3 linked regions of the Canis lupus familiaris genome follow. The protein of the gene in region 3 binds, or shares a complex with, the protein of the main gene of each other region. Links are inferred from orthologs where the notes say so. Each region holds a gene or a part of one and is shown on either strand. Other genes may lie near its edges.

Region 1 (6,409 bases), on a different chromosome or scaffold from region 3:
CACATGGGGCAGGCAGTCATCTGTTTTATTACCTCACCCGGCTTGCAGCTTCTGGGAGATAACCTAGGATTCTTTTGTTGTTGGGGGGGGGGGGGCAGCGGTGGGGTGATGGAGGGTAGAAAGGACTGAAAAGCAGACCAAGGCTTTAAGGAGTTGATTCCTGTTCTGGTCTCTCTTTCGTCCTCCCCTGCTCACATCTAAAGGTCCAAAGGAACAAGGCATTTGGAAAATGCTATGGCTGGGGTACCTGGGCTGCAGAGCAAGCTGGATTTGGCAGCCTACCACGTGTGTCCCTTCACAAGTGATACCAACCAGTGAGAAGGCTGGGTTGCAAAAGAAGACAAAAAGGAAATCTGCAGTTGGGAAGATTGCACAGTTTTCAGGAAGGGAATGGACACAGGTTTTCTGTTTGAAACAGAAAATACTTCATTGGTTCCTATTTCATAGGGGCATGCTTGCTGCCAGGCATGGCGCTCCAAATGTACCACAATGAGGCGCCCGAGATGATGGCTTACCACTGGGTACCAAGCCCTCTACATTTCTTACCTCCTTTAGCCATTAAAACAAGCCCTATGGAAATCTATGTTTTTCAGACCTAAGACTTGAGACTTTGGTCAAGTAAGGTACTCATGGTCACACGGGGAGAAAATAGGGTACGTTTGCCCCCAAACAGACTGATCCAGAGCAGAATACTTAGGAAGCAAGCATCAACAGAGACAAGCCTTCATCGGCATCCATAATATTCCAGGTCCAGACCATGGGTAGGTCCACGAATGGAAGCATAATTTAAAAAAAAAAAATGTATACGTTAAGTGCTGGAGTCAAACAGACCTGAGCCTACTTATTAGTTCTATATCCCTGGCCAATAATATAGCATCTTAGAACATCAGTTTTCTCATCAGTAAAATGGGTATAAGTGTGCCGTACTCCGGAGGGTTGCTGTGAGATTATATGAGACCATGTGTGTGAAGCACTCAGCACCATGTTGGCTTCGCTTTTGAGCTATTGCTCTAATAAATAATAGGTTTTTATATTGTGAAAGCTTGGGCAAAGGAGAGGAGGTGAAGAGGACTGCGGGGACCTCGCTTAAAAGGATGGGGAACTTCTACTTTGGGTGTTACAGGCCAGTCTGAGGCCCATGATTCTGGATTTCAGTGCATGGCATCTATGGAATGAAGTAGGGGGTAGGAAGGGCCAAACACTGAGCCCTAGGTCTGGCCTCAGGGAAGTAACTGACTTGGCAGACAGCATTTGGAGGTAAGGAACTGCCATGGTGGGTCTTATCTATTAAGAGAAGATGAGACTGCAAACGTGGGATTCCTTCCCCTGCTCAGCACACTCTGTCTGGCCCATACAGCACGGGATGCTGGCTCGTCTGGGAGACGGTGGGGGCTCGGACAAGGGGATACACTGCACTGGGCTTCATTCCATTCCTCCAAGCCAGCTTCCTGCCACATATCCAGGGCAAAAACGGTTAAACACTAACATTCAGGAAACAGACGAGCCCGTAGATCCTTAACTCTGGGGTCTCATCTTTTTATACTTAATTACATATCTTTAATTTCTCAAGAAATACTGATTTTAAAATTTCTTCTAATAGTTTTCAAAATGGAATTTTGCTTTGCTTTCTTCTTCCCTCAAATCCATAACGTACCTACCTCCAAGTATCATAGGACGGAAGCACACATGACGCTGCTAGCCTCCCGCCTGGGACGGGCTAAGGACTCCATTCAGTTCACAAGACCCTGTTACTGTTACTTTACAAAAGGCTTCCCCGGGCACCCCTTGGATGCCGCCCCGGGGGGAGGGGATTCATAGCATATACTCCAAGTTTTAGGGACCCAGAGGACAGCCAGCTACATTAGCAACTACGAGGGTAGAGGAGACAGTGAAACCACACCGGGAGAAGAATGGAAGGAGAGGGAGACAGATGGTGCGTGTGTTGGGGGAAGGGATCAGAGATCCAGGAAAACTTCTGTTCCCTGAATCGCAAGAATGTTTCCATTTAACCACTTCTTGTCTGGCTCCTGATTCTACATAAAAGAGAAGCGGGGAGTTTTAGGGTTTGGGGCCACCTGCACCAAGAGCCTAGGCGCGAGGTGGAGAGCCGGGAGCGCGGGGAAGCAGCGGCGAGCGGGTCTTGCTCGGGCCACCCGGGCCCCCGCGCGCGTCCGGGGCCCAGGTAAGGGGCGGTGCCCCCTCCCGGCTACCGGGGCTGCGGGCGGTCCGGACAGTCCCACGAGGGGGCGCGTCTCGGGTCCTAGGATCCGCCCTCGCAGCGCCGGGCGCGGGGAGGGGACCCGGGAGCCCAGGCGCCCGGCGCTCCGCCTCCCGTTTCCGGGGCAGCGCGGTTACCTGCACGGCCCGAGCCGCACCTGGCGGAGGCCGGAGTCGCCGAGCGGGCGCAGAGCGGCGCGGCGCAGAGCGGCGGAGAGGGCTCGGGCGCCCGGCCAGGGGGCGGCGGCGGCGGCGGGGAGCAGGCGGCGGGGAGCAGGCGGGGAGCAGGCGGCGGGGAGCAGGCGGCGGGGAGCAGGCGGCGGCGCTCGGCTCGCTCTGCCCCGCCGGCCGGGCGCGTCCCCGGGCCCGCACCGCGCCGCGGCGGGCGCACATGGCAGCGTGAGAGGCCGGCGGCGGGAGCGCGGGAGCCCGGGAGCGGCGGGCCGGAGCCGCAGGGCCGCATGGACCGCGGCGCCGCCCGGGCCGGCCCCCACTAGGGCCCCCAGTCCGCGGGCGCCAGCCTCCCCCCCCATCATGGTGCCTCGGCGGCCGCCCGGGCTGGGCACGGCCGGCCGGAGCCGCTGAGCCGGGGCCCCCGCGGCGGCCGGGAGCTGCATGGGGGAGCGCGGGCCGCGCTCGGGAAGATGCCCCGGCCGGAGCTGCCCCTGCCGGAGGGCTGGGAGGAGGCGCGCGACTTCGACGGCAAGGTCTACTACATAGACCACACGAGCCGCACCACCAGCTGGATCGACCCGCGGGACAGGTAGGGCCCCGGGGAGCCCCACACCGCGCGCTCCGCCCGGGCCCCCTCTTGCCCCAGGGGCCACCCGCGGGGACCGGGCAGGGGCCGCCGGGGAACTCTGCGAGCCGCTTGCGCTTTCTTCAGTTGGCCGCCCCCCCGCCGCCCTCGCCCCCCCCCCCCGCCCCCGTCCCCATCCACGTCCCCATCCCCATCGCCCGCCGTCTGGAGCGCTGCTCCCGCCGGGGTGGGCTGCTGGAGGGGGGCGCGGCCAGGGGCCCGGGCGGCCCCCGCCGCCGTCCCCGATGGAGGACTTAGGCCCCAGCCGGCACCTGCCCAGAGTTTTGACCTTAAGCTCTAGCCCCGCCTCCCCCGCCCCCTTTAGGACGAGGTCGGGCGGGGGCTGGGGCAGCAGCCTAGCGGAGCGTTTCTGGGGCTTCCCGGAGAGGCTTTCCCCAGTGTGTGTGTGTGTGGGGCCGGGGGGAGATGGGGAAGCATCTGGTTTGGAGGGGGTAGTAGGGACCCAGGATTCAGTGGGAAACTGCTGGAAGGACACTAGGCGGAGGGGAAGGCAGCCTGGAGTGTGGTCTTTGACAGGTGCCTGGGAGGCTCGGGGAAGAGCACGGGAGCAGCCAGGGGGCCTGGAGGCCGGGAGTGGGAAGGAAAGGAAGAGGGCGGGGGAGGGCTGATCGGAAGACTGGTTCTCCAGGAATCTTAGAGCAACTTGGAAGCTGTTAGGATATAGATGGAGGTGAGAGGCCTCCCACAAAGCCCTGCCCATCACCTCGTTCTCCACCCTTTCTTCCTCTGGGGACCGAGACTCCTCAGTCCTGCACCAGCGCGTCCTGACCTTGGTGGGCACCAAGCGACTGTAGCACGGATTCTATTTTATTTTTTCTGTGGCAGGTGGAGTCTGAGGTGACTGCTCAGAGCTTCCAGACTTTCTCCCGGTTTTGATTGCTTGTCATTTCTTTGCACACACCCTCCCCATGTAGGGGTGGGGGGAAGAAGGGGAGGAAGAGGACCACCCTCTGAGATTGCTTTGTTGTCCTTGTTGGCTTGGTCTGTGGTCAGTGTCTTAGGAATGTGGAATGTTCACCTGGTCTGTGCGACCTTGAGTGTCAGGTGCCTGTAACGCAATAGAGGTGAATTTTTTGGATCTTTCGACCTGTAGGGTTGGGATGCAGGTCCCAGAAGTCCAAGATGGGGTGTGTAGCAAGGTGTGGGTTTTAAAAAAAGGCAGAAAGAAAATTTGAATTGAGATGCCCCGTAATTTCTGTGAGCGCTCTAAGTTCACTCATTTAACATTTCTTGGGTGCTTGCTTTATTCTCAGTACCACGCTGGATGCCTCTTTGATATAATTTAGAAGAGAAATTTAAAAAGGAAAAGTTCTCTGCCCATTGTGGGGCTTGAACTCAACCACTCTGAGATCAAGATTCGGGTGCTCTACCAACTGAGTCAGTCTGGTGGCATTGGAAGATAAATTTTTAATGCTAGAGAAAGCATCCCATGAGCAAGCTGCTTTAACCTCTGAGCCTCAGGTTCCCCGTTGGTCAGATTAATGGTTTGTTTGGAAGAGAAGTAATCGTAGAACTCTGAAAGTTGGAAGGGACATAGATGATCAGAGCCCAGCTCTTATTTTCAAACATAAGAGAAAATTTGAGGTCCAGAGGTGTGACTTACTTGAATATCTTCATCTTTCCACCACTCACCATATGCCAGATTCTTTACCATCTCTGAAGTTCTAACCTCCAGATTTGTCCTGACTCACTTCTCTTCCCTGCCCCACTCAGGGTCATCTGTCCCAGGGACGCTGTTACGTGTTGGAGAACTGGGCAGCCCCTTGTTCTCTTCCAGAAGAGACATAAGTTCAGTCTTCTGTTTCCTGCCTGGTTTTGGTCCTTGCAACTTACTGAGGCCAGTGTGCTGTCAGCAGTTGCATGTCAGAGGACTAGGACAGCCCCACACCCAGCGTTGCTAACTCACCCTCGGTTGTGAATCTAGGGACTTCTCTGGGGCTCTGAGAGGAATACAGCTCTAGAAAGCTTCTCAAACAACAGGTAATTTTCTACCCCTGGAAAAGGACAAGTGGAAAATTGACTTGGCTAGAGTATTATTTTTCAAATTTTAGTACCATATGAACCACCATAATGATTTTCTGCTATATTGACTTGTACCATTGCTTACTTAATATTTGACTTTAAATCAACTAAACGTGAAAATTTTTTTAAAGATTTTATTTATTTGAGAAAGAGAAAGGGAGAGAATGAGTGGGGAGAGGGGCAGAGGGAGAGAGAGAAGCAGGCTCCCCTTTGAGCAGGGAGCACACCATGCGGCTCAATCCCCGGACCCTGGGATCATAACCTGAGCCAAAGGCAGATGCTTAACTGACTGAACCACCCAGGTGCCCCTCAGTATGAAAAATTTTTAACCACTTTCACAAATGGGAAACTAGTATTATCTGTTGTCATAAATAGAAAGGATCTTCAAAAAAAAAAAAAAAAAAACAGTGGAGGGAAAAAAAACCAACAACCCAGTGCCATTATATTTTAGCTCTGTACGGTAGCTTGCCCATACCCAGCAACAGGTATGCCCAGCCTTTGTTTTTTAGGCAGATTGACAAGTATTGGAGAGGAATTAAGAACATAGTGGCATTTAACTGAGCCTCTCACTTTCTTCACCTTGCAAATAATTGGTTTTAATGCATCTTTGTACCTTCTGGTCATCCCTCCCATACTGGATTGGTGGGGGACCCCGGAGTTTGGGATGCTGAGGTGTTCCAAGTGCAACCCTGGGGTCACTGTTATGGTAGGCCAACTGAAAATTTGGGGAGAAAGCTAAGCAGAGGGCATCCACCCATGGCTCTCTGGAATTTCTCTCCTGAAAGTTGGAAGGGACATAGATGATCAGAGCCCAGCTCTTATTTTCAAACATAAGAGAAAATTTGAGGTCCAGAGGTGTGACTTATTTGAATATCTTCATGGATATGAAGATGGTCTTGGATAAATTGCTTGACCTCTCTACAAATGAGTTCTCCATTGGTGAGAAGATGTTCGCAGAACCCTGCCAGGTCTCAGATGTGATTTCAGACCCCTTGGCCTTGTCTTACCCCTCCTGACTCCATGGCAGAAGGAGAGAGGGGACTGTAGCAAGGAAGAAGAAAAAAAATTAAAGCGAAAAAGAGCCAGACAACTTTGGGGTGGTGGTGTGGGGGAGATAAATTCTGCCAAGGTAGTTACATCTCTGCAACCCATTTCATTAATGCTGTGAAACAAAAGATGACATTAAAAAAAAAAAAAAAAAAGAATTTCTACTCTTTAAGGGTGTGCGTGTGTGTTTACATTTGTCTTGGCTTTTTTCTTACCTGAATCAAGGCGATGCCCACCCATTCCCTTGAATTTAAAAGAAGTAAGTCAAACGGTCCCTCAGTCAGAAAAGTGATTTCTTAGCCA
Region 2 (5,810 bases), on a different chromosome or scaffold from region 3:
AGACTTCTGCCCTCAGATTTTCCCTTTTTAATACAGAAACATAATACTTTGTAGAGCGTTGCTCAGAAATGCCTAGTATTTGATGTCCATTTTCACACAAGGAATCAATAATGTAAATATTTCCTCGAAGTGGAAACACCTGCAGGGAGGGTCAAGGAAATCATAAAAGGTACTTCTTTCAAGCTTTCACTGCTTTCATTTGCATTTCAAACCAACAGGGCTTTCATGCTGTGTTTAGTGCTCTGAATAGACAATCATATATGTTTGCCACACGTGCGTTCTTCACGCATGCGTTCCTTGCAGTGCTGCTCCTTCTGAACCACCCTTGCTGTGGCTTCATTTACACTCAACACACATTTAATGAACACCTACTGTGGGCTGTTCGATATGAAGAACAGGACCACCAGATTAGGTAATAGGATCATCCCAATATAGCAGACGAGGCTTCTGAGGCTCCTGGACTCCAAGTGTCCCAAGTCCCAGAACTGGCAAGTGGAAAACCAGGACTTAGCCTGAGCCTTTTCCTTTATATCTATTTTCAAGTATCCATCCTATCCGTGGCCCTTCCCTCCTTTCTCTCCCTAGTGTCACTGATAGTTAAGAGCAGAGTAGCACAGAAATGAAGGAGGGGTTTTCCGCTTGCCCCATTCACTTCCCCAGAAGGTAGGAGGGAAGAAACACCCAGGGCTCAGATTACTAACACACTCCTCACTGCTCCGATGTCCATGGTTCACCAAGGACACCCCGCTTAACTTCAGCCCCAAACTGTTCCGTAATTTTCTGCTCAAATCATGGAAGTCACCAAGAGTAATTATTGCTGGTAGTGGAAGAAGTGTCCTCAGCATCCCAATTCACAACTCTACGTAAAGATTTTTCTGCGGCAACCAGTTCCTCAAGGTCCTTAGGGGGATTATCAAGATTATATTTGCAAGTTCAAATATAATCAAATATAATCTTGATAATCCCCCTAAGGACCTTGAGGAACTGGTTGCCGCAGAAAAAGGGCTGAACCAGCTCCCACCTGCTAGCCTGGAGTTCCAAGCACAACACAAAGCATTGATTCGATTGGAAGAATCAGATTTCTTAATTAAGTCAATGGAAAACCAGTTTGAGATCTCTACGACCGGTATACGTTAGTGAACTTTTAGAATATAACCCACTCACATTTAGGGATTCAGGTGTTACCCTCCAAGTTCATACTAAGATAAATGTGTAAGACAGCACCACTTTTCTTGTGTTTAATAAAAGATAGGAAAATACATACTTTCAAAATTAAAAAAAAAACCACGGTTTTCTGGACTCTTGCATTTTTCTCTCTTATTCATTGACCTTTATTTTTTAAAGTATGATTTCATTCAACTCCAGGGAAACTTCTATTTTTATGATATTATTGTAAGGGTCTTACTATTTTACCTGTATATTTTATTGCTGAGTCAGTGTTTATCTTACCTCCTCGATGGATAATCAAAGAAGTCTCACTTCCAATGGGACAGTCCTTAAGTATATCCACTACTTCTGTATGGCTCAGGTTCTGTACATTCTGCTGGTTGATCTCAACAATGAGGTCACCTTCACACAGGCCAGGGCATCCCTGAACGTCAAGTATTTGTTTCACCCGCTGTCCTGTAGGACTGTCGGCAATAGTGAAGCCAAAGCCCTGGGCACCTTTCACAATGGTTAAGGTCATAAGTTCAGCTTGGGTGGCCCCAGATGAAGCCATAGACACATTGTCGTCATGGACAGGTGGTGGATACGTGCCATCTAATTGACCATCAGCTGGCATTGAGTGCAAAGAATGAGGCGGTCGATCTGTTATATCCGGAACCGACTGTGAGGTCCGAGAAATGTATTCCAAATATGTTTCATAGTTATGTCTTCCATTGACCATCACCGGAGGTGGCCTCTCCATTATTGCAAGGGGTGGCACCATGCTGTTAGCAGGATCCTCAGGATCAAAGGGCAAAGGGTAGCCACGACACAACACCAGGTTGACACTCTGACCAATAGGAACAGACTGGAAAAGTTTGACTACATCTGCATGAGTGTGTCCAAGGACACAAACTTCATTAATATAGACAATGACATCACCTGCAAGGAAAAAAGAAAGAGATTGACAACATGAGGTAAGTTCAATTAAAGTTGACATAGAGAAATGGAATTATTTATGAGACTAGTATAAGAGGCACTCAGTTTCTCAGTAAGCAGTGAGAAAATCAATTAGAATAATATTTAAATTCGCTGTAGGTGACTCAAGGTTACAACAGGTCTGCCAACAAATACAACGATCAAATGATGAAAAAAATGCTATGTACTCATTCTTGGAAGTCAGAAGCATCTTTGTGTTCAAAAAGAAAGGCTCAGGAAGGAAAGTCTAGAAGAATTTGTACCTTGAGGAAGCATATATTCTATGCTTCTTTTTCATCTTCATTTCCATCTTCAGTGCAATTCAGTCAATAGAATTTTCAAACTATTGAGAAGTGGTGGTCATAAGTCTTGGGTGAAAATTTAGAAAGCCCTGGTATACTTTTTTTTTTTGTATAGCTTGACTGAGTCAACTGCTATTTTTCTTTTTTATGGAAGAGGAAAATATTTTGCCCACTTATTTTCTCCATCTACGGCAAGATGTAATTACAAAGTTTCTGTGTATACACAAGCAAAGGCCAAGAGCACAGATTCTGGGATCAGGATCTGAGTCCATATCTTGGCTCTACCTACTACTTAACAGATATGTGATTTGGGCAAATGACTTACCTGCTTTGAGTCACAGTTCCTCATTTGTAAAGCTGTTGTGAGGATGAAATAAAATAATATAGGAAAAGTGTTTGGCATAGTGCCTGAAACACGGTAAGTGTCCAATATTTGTGGACCACTATTAGTATTACTATTGCTAAAATAGGATGGAGGGGATTTGGGACCCTGGCTTTCAAATAGGAGGCTGCCATAGACTCATTCTCTGATTGTAGATTAATTAATATTTCTGTAGATCATTTAAAAAAGGCATTTGTCCTCTCTCCCCAATGAATTATCATAGAGTTATAGAAGTCCACTGGTTAGAAGTTGACTTTATAATATTAAAAATGCCCTAAATGTTAATTATTCATTATAAAATAAAAACTCTGAAAAACATTATTTTCTTTTTAAGATGCAGGAAAACATGCTTGTTTGAGACAATTGTTTAAAAATTTCAATTATCTATGAATAACAGTTTTATTTTTAGAGAACGGTTATATTATGGATCAATATTTTTATTCTCAAAAACCATAATATTTGAAAATTGAACTTGCAAACTGAGATTGTGCCTGACTACTCTGGGGAGTATATGAGGGAAAGACATGTTTTCACAGACTGTCAAATAAGTAACTCAACAGACATTAATTAATCAGCATAATTCTGAAATGGGTAGTGTACATGGCTAGGGATCTCATTCTGAGACATCCTTGCCCATAAAATTGCAAACATCAAAAATGCAAAAACAGAGTTGAACTTTCAGAGTTAAATACGTTTCTAGCTTTTCTTAGGTGTCTGATATAAAATGATCACTCCACTGTATGCATCTAAAATAAATAATTCTATGAATAAAACATTCTTGAGTAAGATACTCTCAACAACACGGACTGGTTAACACTCACTCTGCCCAAATGCTAGAGACCTGCTTGAAAGTGCTAAAGATGTAAAGACAGAATAAGCCAAACAAACATTTTCTGGGATCCAGGTTAAGTGTGATTCTAAGAAATGTCATAGACTCTGATTGGTTGGATGGAACTTCACACTTCAGTTATGTGTATCAGAAAGGGTGCTGGTGTAATGCAGGGATTTTGGAGCAGGAGTTAGGGCTGAGTTGGGATGAGCATCCTTTCTTTGCTACTATGATTCATCATTAGACCAGGGCAAATGGAGACTCTTTCGAGTTATAGAAGTCCACTGGTTAGAAGTTGACTTTATAATATTAAAAATGCCCTGAATGTTAATTATTCATTATAAAATAAAAACTCTGAAAAACAATATTTTTTTTGGCATTATTTTCAACTGGTCTGGTCACCTGAGAGTCCCAGAGAAGCATCTGATTCAGACAAACTTTTTTCCTTCTCTTCTTGCCTCTTCTATTTCTAAAGTTATGATAATCTATTTTACACATTACAAGGTTGAAAGAATAATAAATACTGTGTACCAGTGTCCAACTCAATGATGAGAACATTACACATACTGGTTGTGTTTCTTCAGGTAGCACCTCCCTCCTACTGACCTCTCCAAAGGTAATCACTACCCTACATTATTCACATGCACTTTACATTTTTATGACATATCCAGGTACCTTTAAATAATGTCCCCAAATAACACTTAATCCCTAAATAATAATATCCCCCCAAATATGGTTTTGCACATTTAAAAATCATTATAATCATTGTCCCTGTGTACTTATGGTAGAGCTTTTCTGAAGTGTGGACCTTGGCATAGAATTTCTGGGCATAGACCACAGGCTTCTTCAGCTTTGTTATGCAATGGCCAATGGCTGACAAAATAGGTCAAATCGAATTACATCCCCATTTCTAGTATATCAGGATTTTCATTGCTTCCTATCTGATACAATACTAGGCATTCTCAGACTTAATTTTCATGGATCTAATGGGTGTGATCATGGTTTTAATTTGCATTTCCCAGATTGCTAGTGAGGGTGAGCATGTTTTCATATGTTTATTGGCCATTTGGGTTTCCTCTTTAGTATGTCTCATTTTCCCATTTTTTCCTATTTTGTTAGTCCTTTATATTTTGTAAACACATTGACTGCTTCTCTGCCCACCTCCATTCTTGATCCAACATCTTTGGTAGGCTTGGGAGGCTGCATGGTATAGCCGACGTTATGCGGGATAGGGATAATGTGTCAGAAGACTTTGGTTTGATTTCCAGCTCTATCACTTCCTAGCTGTGTGACTTTCAAAGCTAACTTTAATCTTCTGTGACTCAGATTCTTCACAAGTAACAAGGAACAAAAATAATAGCAACTTATTGCTCTATGGGAAATAAATGAGATCATGCAGGTGACAGGGTTTATAAGCTGCAAATTGTTATGCAAAGGATGATTGCTATTTCAGTAATTATCTGTCCTTGGTTATACCTTTTATAAAATCAGGACAGTCCCACCAAGATATTCCCACCACAATCATAATCAAGGCTGAATATGGGTTTCTGAGTGGGCAGATTAAAGACAGGAAGGTAACAAATGCCATTTTCTCCTAAGGCATTCCCTAACTTTAATCACTGTTAACGAACTTCCCCCAACCCCCAAGCACGCTATGCCAGAAATTCATAGGAAAAAAGAACTAAGCTCTCAAGGTTCCCTGCCAGGTCTAGAGAGTAGTTATTTGAATTATAGTGATTAATGTTATCTATTTTTGAGTTTTAATGTGATCTTGCTATTTAGAAACAGAATGAGAACTATTTGTGGTTCTTGGTAAGACTGCCTTTTAAAATTTATGGATATTTTCTACTCAGAGCAATTTTTCAAGTCATCAAGCAAGCAGTGATACAGTGCTATCTTTATGGAGCTACGCAGAAGCTTTCTGAATGAAAAGATGAGTGGTCAGTTATCACAGGATAAAACTAACAACTTGACGGTACTCAACTGCTCACTCTAAAAAATGTATAGAGATGCCTAGACATTGTGACATGCCAAATTGTTGTAGATGGATTTGTAAGCAAACATTTGCCTGTTCAGATAGAACTAATTGGGTAGGATATTTATTGACTGTGCTGCATGAATGTCATTTACATGTTGTGAAATAAAAATATGAGCCACCTGGTCCATGCCATCC
Region 3 (6,557 bases):
TCTGTGTCGCTTCCATCGGAGGAGCCGCTCTGGACGCTGAGCTCCGCAGCTTCGTCCGAGTCCGAGTCCGGGGCGGTGTGGCGGCGGATGCGGGACACGGCTTCCCGCAGGGCCCCCGCGTACGGCCCCGGGGTCCGCGCCCAGCCCCGGCCCGCGCGCCGGGGGGCCGCCGCCACTCCCTCCGGGCCCTCGGCGGGGGCCGCGCCTCCCGAAGCCGCCGGGCCCAGGGCCGAGCGCTCCGGGCTACCGGGCTGCGCGGGGGCGTCCCGGAGGTTTACTTCGCCCACCGGGAGCCCCAAGATGCGGGAGGCGCGCTCCTCCAAGGAGGAGTCCGCCGGCTTCCCGCCCTCGGCTTCGAACCCGCGCCCCCCACCGAGCTGGTGTGACGGGCGACTGCTCGGGAGCAGTTTTTGGCAAGGCGAGGGCAGGGCCGCGGCTCCCTCGCCCTCCTCCTGGCTGGGCCCCGGAGGACTGGGGGCATCCCCCGCGGCGCGCGGCACCCCGGCGGGCAAGAGCTGTACGTGCTGGGTTCGAGGGGTCGGAACATACTGCGACCGGATCACCACGCACGTGGCGTCAATGACAAAGACGCCTTCTCCGCGCGCAGGGCCGCGGGCGCTGCGGGGCAGGGTGTGGGCGCGGCGGGTCCCCTTCCCACCCTCTGAGGGTCCTGCCCCCGCTCTGAGACCCGGGGATTCGCTCCAGCCCGTGCCTCCTGGAGCCCAGGGTCTGGGGAGGGTCTGGCTCTGTCGGGGCGGCTGCCTTTTACGGGAGGGAACCCAGCATTTGGGGAGCCAGCTCTGTTCCCTGTTTTCTTTCCCTTCCTCGGAGCCCTTGAGCCGGGGCCTGGCCCTGGGGGCGGGCCGCGGGGGGCTGCGCGCGGCGGGGGCCGACCCCGCGGGAGCCGTCTGGGCGCTCGGGCTCCCGGCAGCTCTGGCTTGGGGACGGCCGTCGCTCCCAGCACTCAGGCCAGCGGCCGCCGGCCCCAGGCTTCTCTCGGCGGCGCCCTTGCCGGCCTCCGGCCTCGGCGCGGCCGTTCCACAGCCCGGGGATCCCCCCAGGAGACCCCGCCCCTGCCGGAGCCCCCAAGCCCCGAGGACGTCCCGGTAGATCCGAGGGTCCAGCCTCTTCTTGGCGCACCCTCCCTCTGTCCTGGCCGGAGTCGGAGCAGAGGCGGCGGGGGCCGGCGCCTGGGGGGGCTCGGGGCCTCGCTTGGACCCCAAGGTCCTGTGGGGGCCTTCGTAAGAAGGTGGAGCCACGTAGGGTGGCGGGCGGTCCCAGCGTCGTCGCAGGGCTGTCCCGGCTGCGCCTCTCAGCAGCAGGTGAGCCTCGTAGCTGGGGGGCCCTGGCCGCCTACCTCCCCAGGGCCCCGCCCACGCCGCCCCTGGGTCGCTCTGCGGCTGCGCGGATGGACGGGGCGGTCGCCCCGCCGGCCCCAGGCGCTCGGGTCGAGAAGGAGCTGGGGGCCCTACTGGCTGGGCCACCCGAGGGCCGCTCCGAGGTTCCGGGCGGGGCCGACCGGGGGGGCTCCTTCGGGCCCCACCAGCCTTGCGCCTTTTTCGCTCGGTCTCCTTGGCCTCCCGCTCCTGCGACGCTGCTTTCCTTTTCTCTTGCTCCCGGGCTCGGGCCTCGGCCGGGGGCCCCGCCCGCCAGTTGGTCGCCTCCTGCAGCACCCTGGAGGCCCAGGGACGGCGGGGCGGCGGCTCAGGGGATCCCGGGCGCGGCCCACACCTGGGACAATGAGCAGGAACCCAGGTGAGCAGTTTGTGGGGGAAGGGAGCCGAGGTCCGGGGAGCTGGGAGCACTGGAGGCCATTTGGGGCAGCCATGTGGAGGGGTGTGTGTGAGTGTGTGCGTGTGTGCACGTGCGTATATGTTAGGGCTGAAGTCGAAGCCGGACTCCGCGCCATCTCTCCATGCACACTTTAACAGCGTCTGCCCCATCTCACCTCCTGCCCTTTCTCACACCCACTCCTGCCCCCCCAAACAATGCGGGGAAGAGTCAGGCCCCAGCCCTCGGGATGGGGTAGGGGGAGGCGTGGGAAAGAGAACGGGGTCCAGCAGCACTGGCTGGTGCCTGCGGGGAGGTCCGGACCCCACTCCCCGCCCCACCACTCTCTTCCCGTCACCCCTCCTTCACTCACGTGCGGCTCTGGGGCCCGCGGGCCCAGTGGCTGGCTTGGAAGTCCATGGGCTGTCGAGGAGGGGCGCGGCGACTATAATGACAGGAAATAGTCTTCACTTCGATCACCAGCAGCTTGGATTTCTGCACCCAGAGGCAGCTGCCAGACTCCTCATCCTGGGGCTCCCGGGGGCTGTCGGGCCCCTCGGAGAATAGCTGGCCATCCAGCATCCTGCCCCACCCCACCCCGGCCCCCCACCCTCCCACCCGCCCCGAGAGCCCCCTCCCAGCCCGAGGAGCCGGCGCCCACTGCAGAGCGACGGGCCCAGAGACTGGGGACTATATATACCCCGGCACACGTGTGTGCCTGTCTGTGTGTGTGTGCGCGCGCATGTGACACGGTGCGGCGCGGACGGCACCGCGCTGCTACCTCCCCCATGTGCACGGCCGCCCCCTGGGGCCCGGGATTGGGCGCCCCTTCCCACCGCTCATGGCCCCCAAGCCTGTTGGGACCTGCGCCAGTGGGCAGGGGACCTCTTATTCTTGCCAAGCTGACGGTGCCCTTCCCCCACCCCCGTTGCTCCAACCTTCCTGCCGTTTTAACCCTTAGCTCTTCTGCTGGTCGGGGTGCCCCACCACCAGGGTTCTGCCACCGACTTCCTGCCTCGGACTTCAGTTTCCCCGACAGGGAGGTGAGGGGAATGGAACTCAAGGTCTCTGCCTGCCACTCTCTGCTGGTTTCCATGGGGTTGGGGTGCAGGGGGTCTATTTTTAGCGGCAGTGGCTGTTCGGGTGCAGAGAGATGAGTAACCAGCTTCCATGCGGTGGAGGGAGGAGGCGGTGGCTTTCACACAGCTTTTATGTGGCTCTGGGGGAGAGCTGCCTCCCCCAAGCTCAGAAAGGGTGACCCCCACACCCTTAACTCCTTACCCTCTCAGTGTTGCAGCCCAGCGCTGCTGGTCGGACACAGGAGTCTGTCTTGGCCATCCAAACTGTCCCACGTTCCTATGCTAGCTGTTTGTCCTTGGGCACCCATGGAGCCCTCTCCTCGCAGCAGGCTCTCTCCCGCAATCCAAAAGCCAGGATTTGGGGGTCATACTGTTCTGTGCCCACACAGCTCTGCTCAGCCTTATGGAGGACAGACTAAGGTACTTATGCATTTGCACCCTTTCAGAAGGGATGGAGGAGGAATGGTGTGTTCCCTTGGCAAAACCAGTCCCCTAGCAACTGAAATGCTAAAAGTGGCCCCGATTTCCCAGTGTGGAGCTCCCCATCACCACCACTACAACAATGCCTAGCTCACTTAGCCCCCCCAACCTGAAGTGGTGCTCAAGATGCTCACCTTTTACGCTCATTCTGTCCCAGGGGCAGGGGGTGTTGCTTACATCCACGTGATCCCTCCCCCCCAAGCCTATACCAGGTGTCCCCTGATTCACCATGGTAATGTTAGTGGCAGCACAGCCCACGCCAACCCTTCCATGCAGAGACTTAGCAACCATGCCTGGCAACCATGGCAGCAGCTCCAGTGGAGGGGAGGGGTGCAGAGAGGTGGGAGAAGAGTGTGTATGGCAATGGTTCCTGAAGAAAAGGGATAATTTGCCTCTTCTGAGAGGAATAGGTAAGAATAGGCTATGAGGCTCCTTAATTTTGTTCCTTGTCTTTCCTTCTGCTCCATTCTCAGATTCTGAGACTGACTGATTAGGTTTTAGGGGAGAATGGGAGAGGCAAAAGATCATGCAGCCCTTTGGGTACAGGCCCTTCCTTTTAAGAAGGTGGGGCCAGAAGGGTTGTTGTTAGTAAGAGACTGACTTAATGAGAACCAGAGCAACCAAACCCAGGCCCCCTGCTCCCTAATATGGACCTTTAGAGATTTAGAGATAACCCAAACAGCCCCTACTCCATCCATTTGATAACCCCCCTCCCCCGCTTTACACACCTACCAGCTGCACTCTGGTGGCTCTTTGCTTGAAGGTGCTTCCTTCTACCCAGGTCCCACCAGAGTCCTAGGGCTTTTTAAAGCCCTTGCCTCCTCCCTAGACAAATTCTCCATGATGGAATGTGACATAAGGAGACATCTGTCCTTTCCACCATGCATTCACCCCCACACACATAAACATACCCTAATTCTATTAACTTGGAAGCCTCCCTCCCCCAAGTCTGAGAACGTGCTGTGAGCTGTGGAGAGGTGAATGCAGAAGCAAGGGCTTTCTCCAAAGTCAGGATGGCAGCCCTGACAGCTGCCTTGAAATGTTTCTCCATGCGCCATGAGGAAGCCTACTTTGGAGGAACCGGTATGGTAGGGCAGGGTTCACCAGAGTACTTGGTATAGTGTGGGGAGGGGCAAGGAGGTACTCTGACATTGCTTCTGGTCTTGGACAGGAAATGATATTAAACCTGCAAGTCAGTGGTGAAATGGTACCCAAAATTTGGCTCAGGCCCGACAGTCTAGCGGTCCTTATGGTGTTTGGTGTTGACCTGTTTTGGCTTATTTGGTTTCAGCACAGGTAGAGTCTGTTTCCTCAGCCCCCAGCTCATTCTCACCTTGGAAGAATGGTGAGCCATTTTGTAGGTTCAAAGACAGTGCCGGCTCAGCAAAATTCAGAGTCAAACCTTCCCTGATGAAGAAAAGCTGATGGCCGTAGCATGTCTCTCTGCCTAAAGGAGACCCTCAGTCTCTCTATTCTCTGGAGACCTAATGCTGTTAGGAGATTCTCCTGGGGTCCCAGCTACGGTTCAGGCAGAGGGGAAAGTGAGTAATAAAGAGAACAGCAGGGAACAGGGTAGGAAACAGTCATGAATGGAGAAATGGAAAGGCAGTAAGTCTAGTGTTAGTGGTAAAGAGCAGGAGTCTGGGGCCAGACTCTGGGCACAAATCCTAGCTCTACATTTTACTAGCTGTGTGATGTTGGGCTGGTTACTTAGCCTCTCTGTCCCTTAGTTTTGTTTTGTTTTTTAATCTGTAAAACTGGAATCATATCTACTATGGTTCTGAGAACTAATTAATATGCATAAAGCACCGGGAATGGTGCCTGACACAGTTTTACATATATGTGTGGGTAAATGTATGTGCCACTATTCCTGTTGTTGTTAGTAGTGAGTTGAAGAAGCCATAGGAAGTAGGACGGTTGGAGCAATAGTGTCTGTCAACTACAAGAATCAAACACTGCAATACCATGAAGAGGTTCCTGTCATTTTAATTAGGTTTGCCATGAAAAGCAATAACCTCAGCTAATCACTCTGCCCTCCTCCTCCACCTAACCCCCATCTGCCTTCATATGCACACAGCACAAGAATCCAAAGGCCCTCCTCCCCACAATCCTCCCCACTCCCATTATGGGAAGAAATGTCACTAAATGGACTCAGCCTCCTCCGTACAGCATGAAACAGGATGAATAAAAATATCTTTAGGAAGAGTTTTGTTGTGCTGTTATCTTAGGGTGGAGTCAGGGGCAGAGATAGAGGCAAAGGCTGGGTGAGGTCTGGGGATCTCTTAGAGATCAGAATTTGCCTGAGGGGCACACGGCCCATCATTCACCCAGAAAGGGGGCTACGTCTAAGATGGCAGGGGCTAGGCTGGGCTAGGCTGTATGTGTGAGGATAAGGACTGCTAAAAATCCATTCTCCTTCCTCCCCCCACACCCTCCCCAGCTCCCAAGCGGGGAACAGAGTCACAATTTTCTCAAGGGTTCATCTGTGATTCCTAGAACTTTGGTCAGGCAATGAGTGGGGGCATATCCCCTTGTGCTGCCTGACCCCTTCCCCAGCTCAGAGCTTCTCTCCTCCTGTGAGCACCAGGGCCTGCAGGATGTCAGACAGTGATACAATCCCCTTGACCACATCATTCTCATCTACCACTACAAGTCGGTGAACCTGTGTGGAGCAACAAGGGAGAAAAGGGATGTTTAGTGACGCCCTCAGTTAGGAGGAGTCCTTCAACCCCCACCCTCCGTGCCAAATCCCACACTCAAAGCTGCTCTCCCTAGCTCCTTCTGGGTCACTGGCCTCCCTACCTCTGCTTCCACCAGCCTGTTGATGATGGTCTCCAGAGTCTCATGCAGGTAGCACTTAAGGACACCCTCAAAGTAATGTGATCTATGTTGCAGGGCTTTGGTCACAGACACATCTAGGTTGTTGTAGGTCTTTTCTGCTGCCAGATTCTGGGGAGAGAGAGGAAGGTGCTTGCAGGGAAGCAAAGGAGCCAGCCCCCAAACCCTGAGCCCACCCAGTTGCACCAGAGGGATTTAGGGCAGTTGTTAGCCATGCCCACAAGCCACACCCAACTCGTTCAATTCCTTTTCCAATTAGAAGAGACTCTCTTCTCCCTCTCCACATTCAACAGCCCGCCCCTTTCCCTCCCTCCCAGGCCCTCCGCAATCACTCACGATAACATCAAACTTGGAGTAGATGTCCACCACGCGCCCTAGGGGGGCAGAGGC

Evidence for each region.
Region 1: the proteins of DDN (region 3) and WWC1 are in contact, whole or in part, in a crystal structure (PDB 6J69), measured with the Mus musculus proteins. The link is inferred for Canis lupus familiaris from reciprocal best matches to the Homo sapiens genes DDN and WWC1. Residues at the interface, in NP_001013763.1 of Mus musculus: Tyr227, Val228, Ala229, Pro230, Pro231, Ser232, Tyr233, His237, Arg238, Thr239; in NP_740749.1 of Mus musculus: Glu13, Glu14, Ala15, Arg16, Asp17, Tyr23, Ile25, Asp26, His27, Arg30, Thr31, Thr32, Ser33, Trp34.
Region 2: the proteins of DDN (region 3) and MAGI2 are in contact, whole or in part, in a crystal structure (PDB 6KKG), measured with the Mus musculus proteins. The link is inferred for Canis lupus familiaris from reciprocal best matches to the Homo sapiens genes DDN and MAGI2. Residues at the interface, in NP_001013763.1 of Mus musculus: Asp222, Arg223, Pro224, Pro225, Pro226, Tyr227, Val228, Ala229, Pro230, Pro231, Ser232, Tyr233, His237, Arg238, Thr239, Leu240, Gly241; in NP_001164217.1 of Mus musculus: Glu308, Met309, Ala310, Tyr311, Thr312, Glu313, Gly315, Tyr318, Ile320, Asp321, His322, Lys325, Thr326, Thr327, Ser328, Trp329, Asp358, Tyr361, Tyr364, Val366, Asp367, His368, Arg371, Arg372, Thr373, Gln374, Phe375.

The regions. Positions count from the first base shown.
Region 1 is NC_049225.1:44,320,023-44,326,431, reverse strand, and holds the start of WWC1 (protein KIBRA), read left to right. Parts: upstream 1-2,799; 5' UTR 2,800-2,861; coding exon 2,862-2,980; intron 2,981-6,409. UniProt on the Homo sapiens protein: Regulator of the Hippo signaling pathway, also known as the Salvador-Warts-Hippo (SWH) pathway.
Region 2 is NC_049239.1:18,485,407-18,491,216, forward strand, and holds part of MAGI2 (membrane-associated guanylate kinase, WW and PDZ domain-containing protein 2), read right to left. Parts: intron 2,089-5,810; coding exon 1,450-2,088; intron 1-1,449. UniProt on the Homo sapiens protein: Seems to act as a scaffold molecule at synaptic junctions by assembling neurotransmitter receptors and cell adhesion proteins. Plays a role in nerve growth factor (NGF)-induced recruitment of RAPGEF2 to late endosomes and neurite outgrowth.
Region 3 is NC_049248.1:41,073,987-41,080,543, forward strand, and holds the start of DDN (dendrin), read right to left. Parts: upstream 4,107-6,557; 5' UTR 4,062-4,106; intron 4,056-4,061; exon of another isoform or gene 3,250-4,055; 5' UTR 3,052-3,249; intron 2,369-3,051; exon of another isoform or gene 2,353-2,368; coding exon of another isoform or gene 2,144-2,352; 5' UTR 1,944-2,143; coding exon 1-1,943. Other genes in the region: PRKAG1 (5'-AMP-activated protein kinase subunit gamma-1), read right to left, coding at 5,887-5,991, 6,132-6,278, 6,504-6,541. UniProt on the Homo sapiens protein: Promotes apoptosis of kidney glomerular podocytes. Podocytes are highly specialized cells essential to the ultrafiltration of blood, resulting in the extraction of urine and the retention of protein.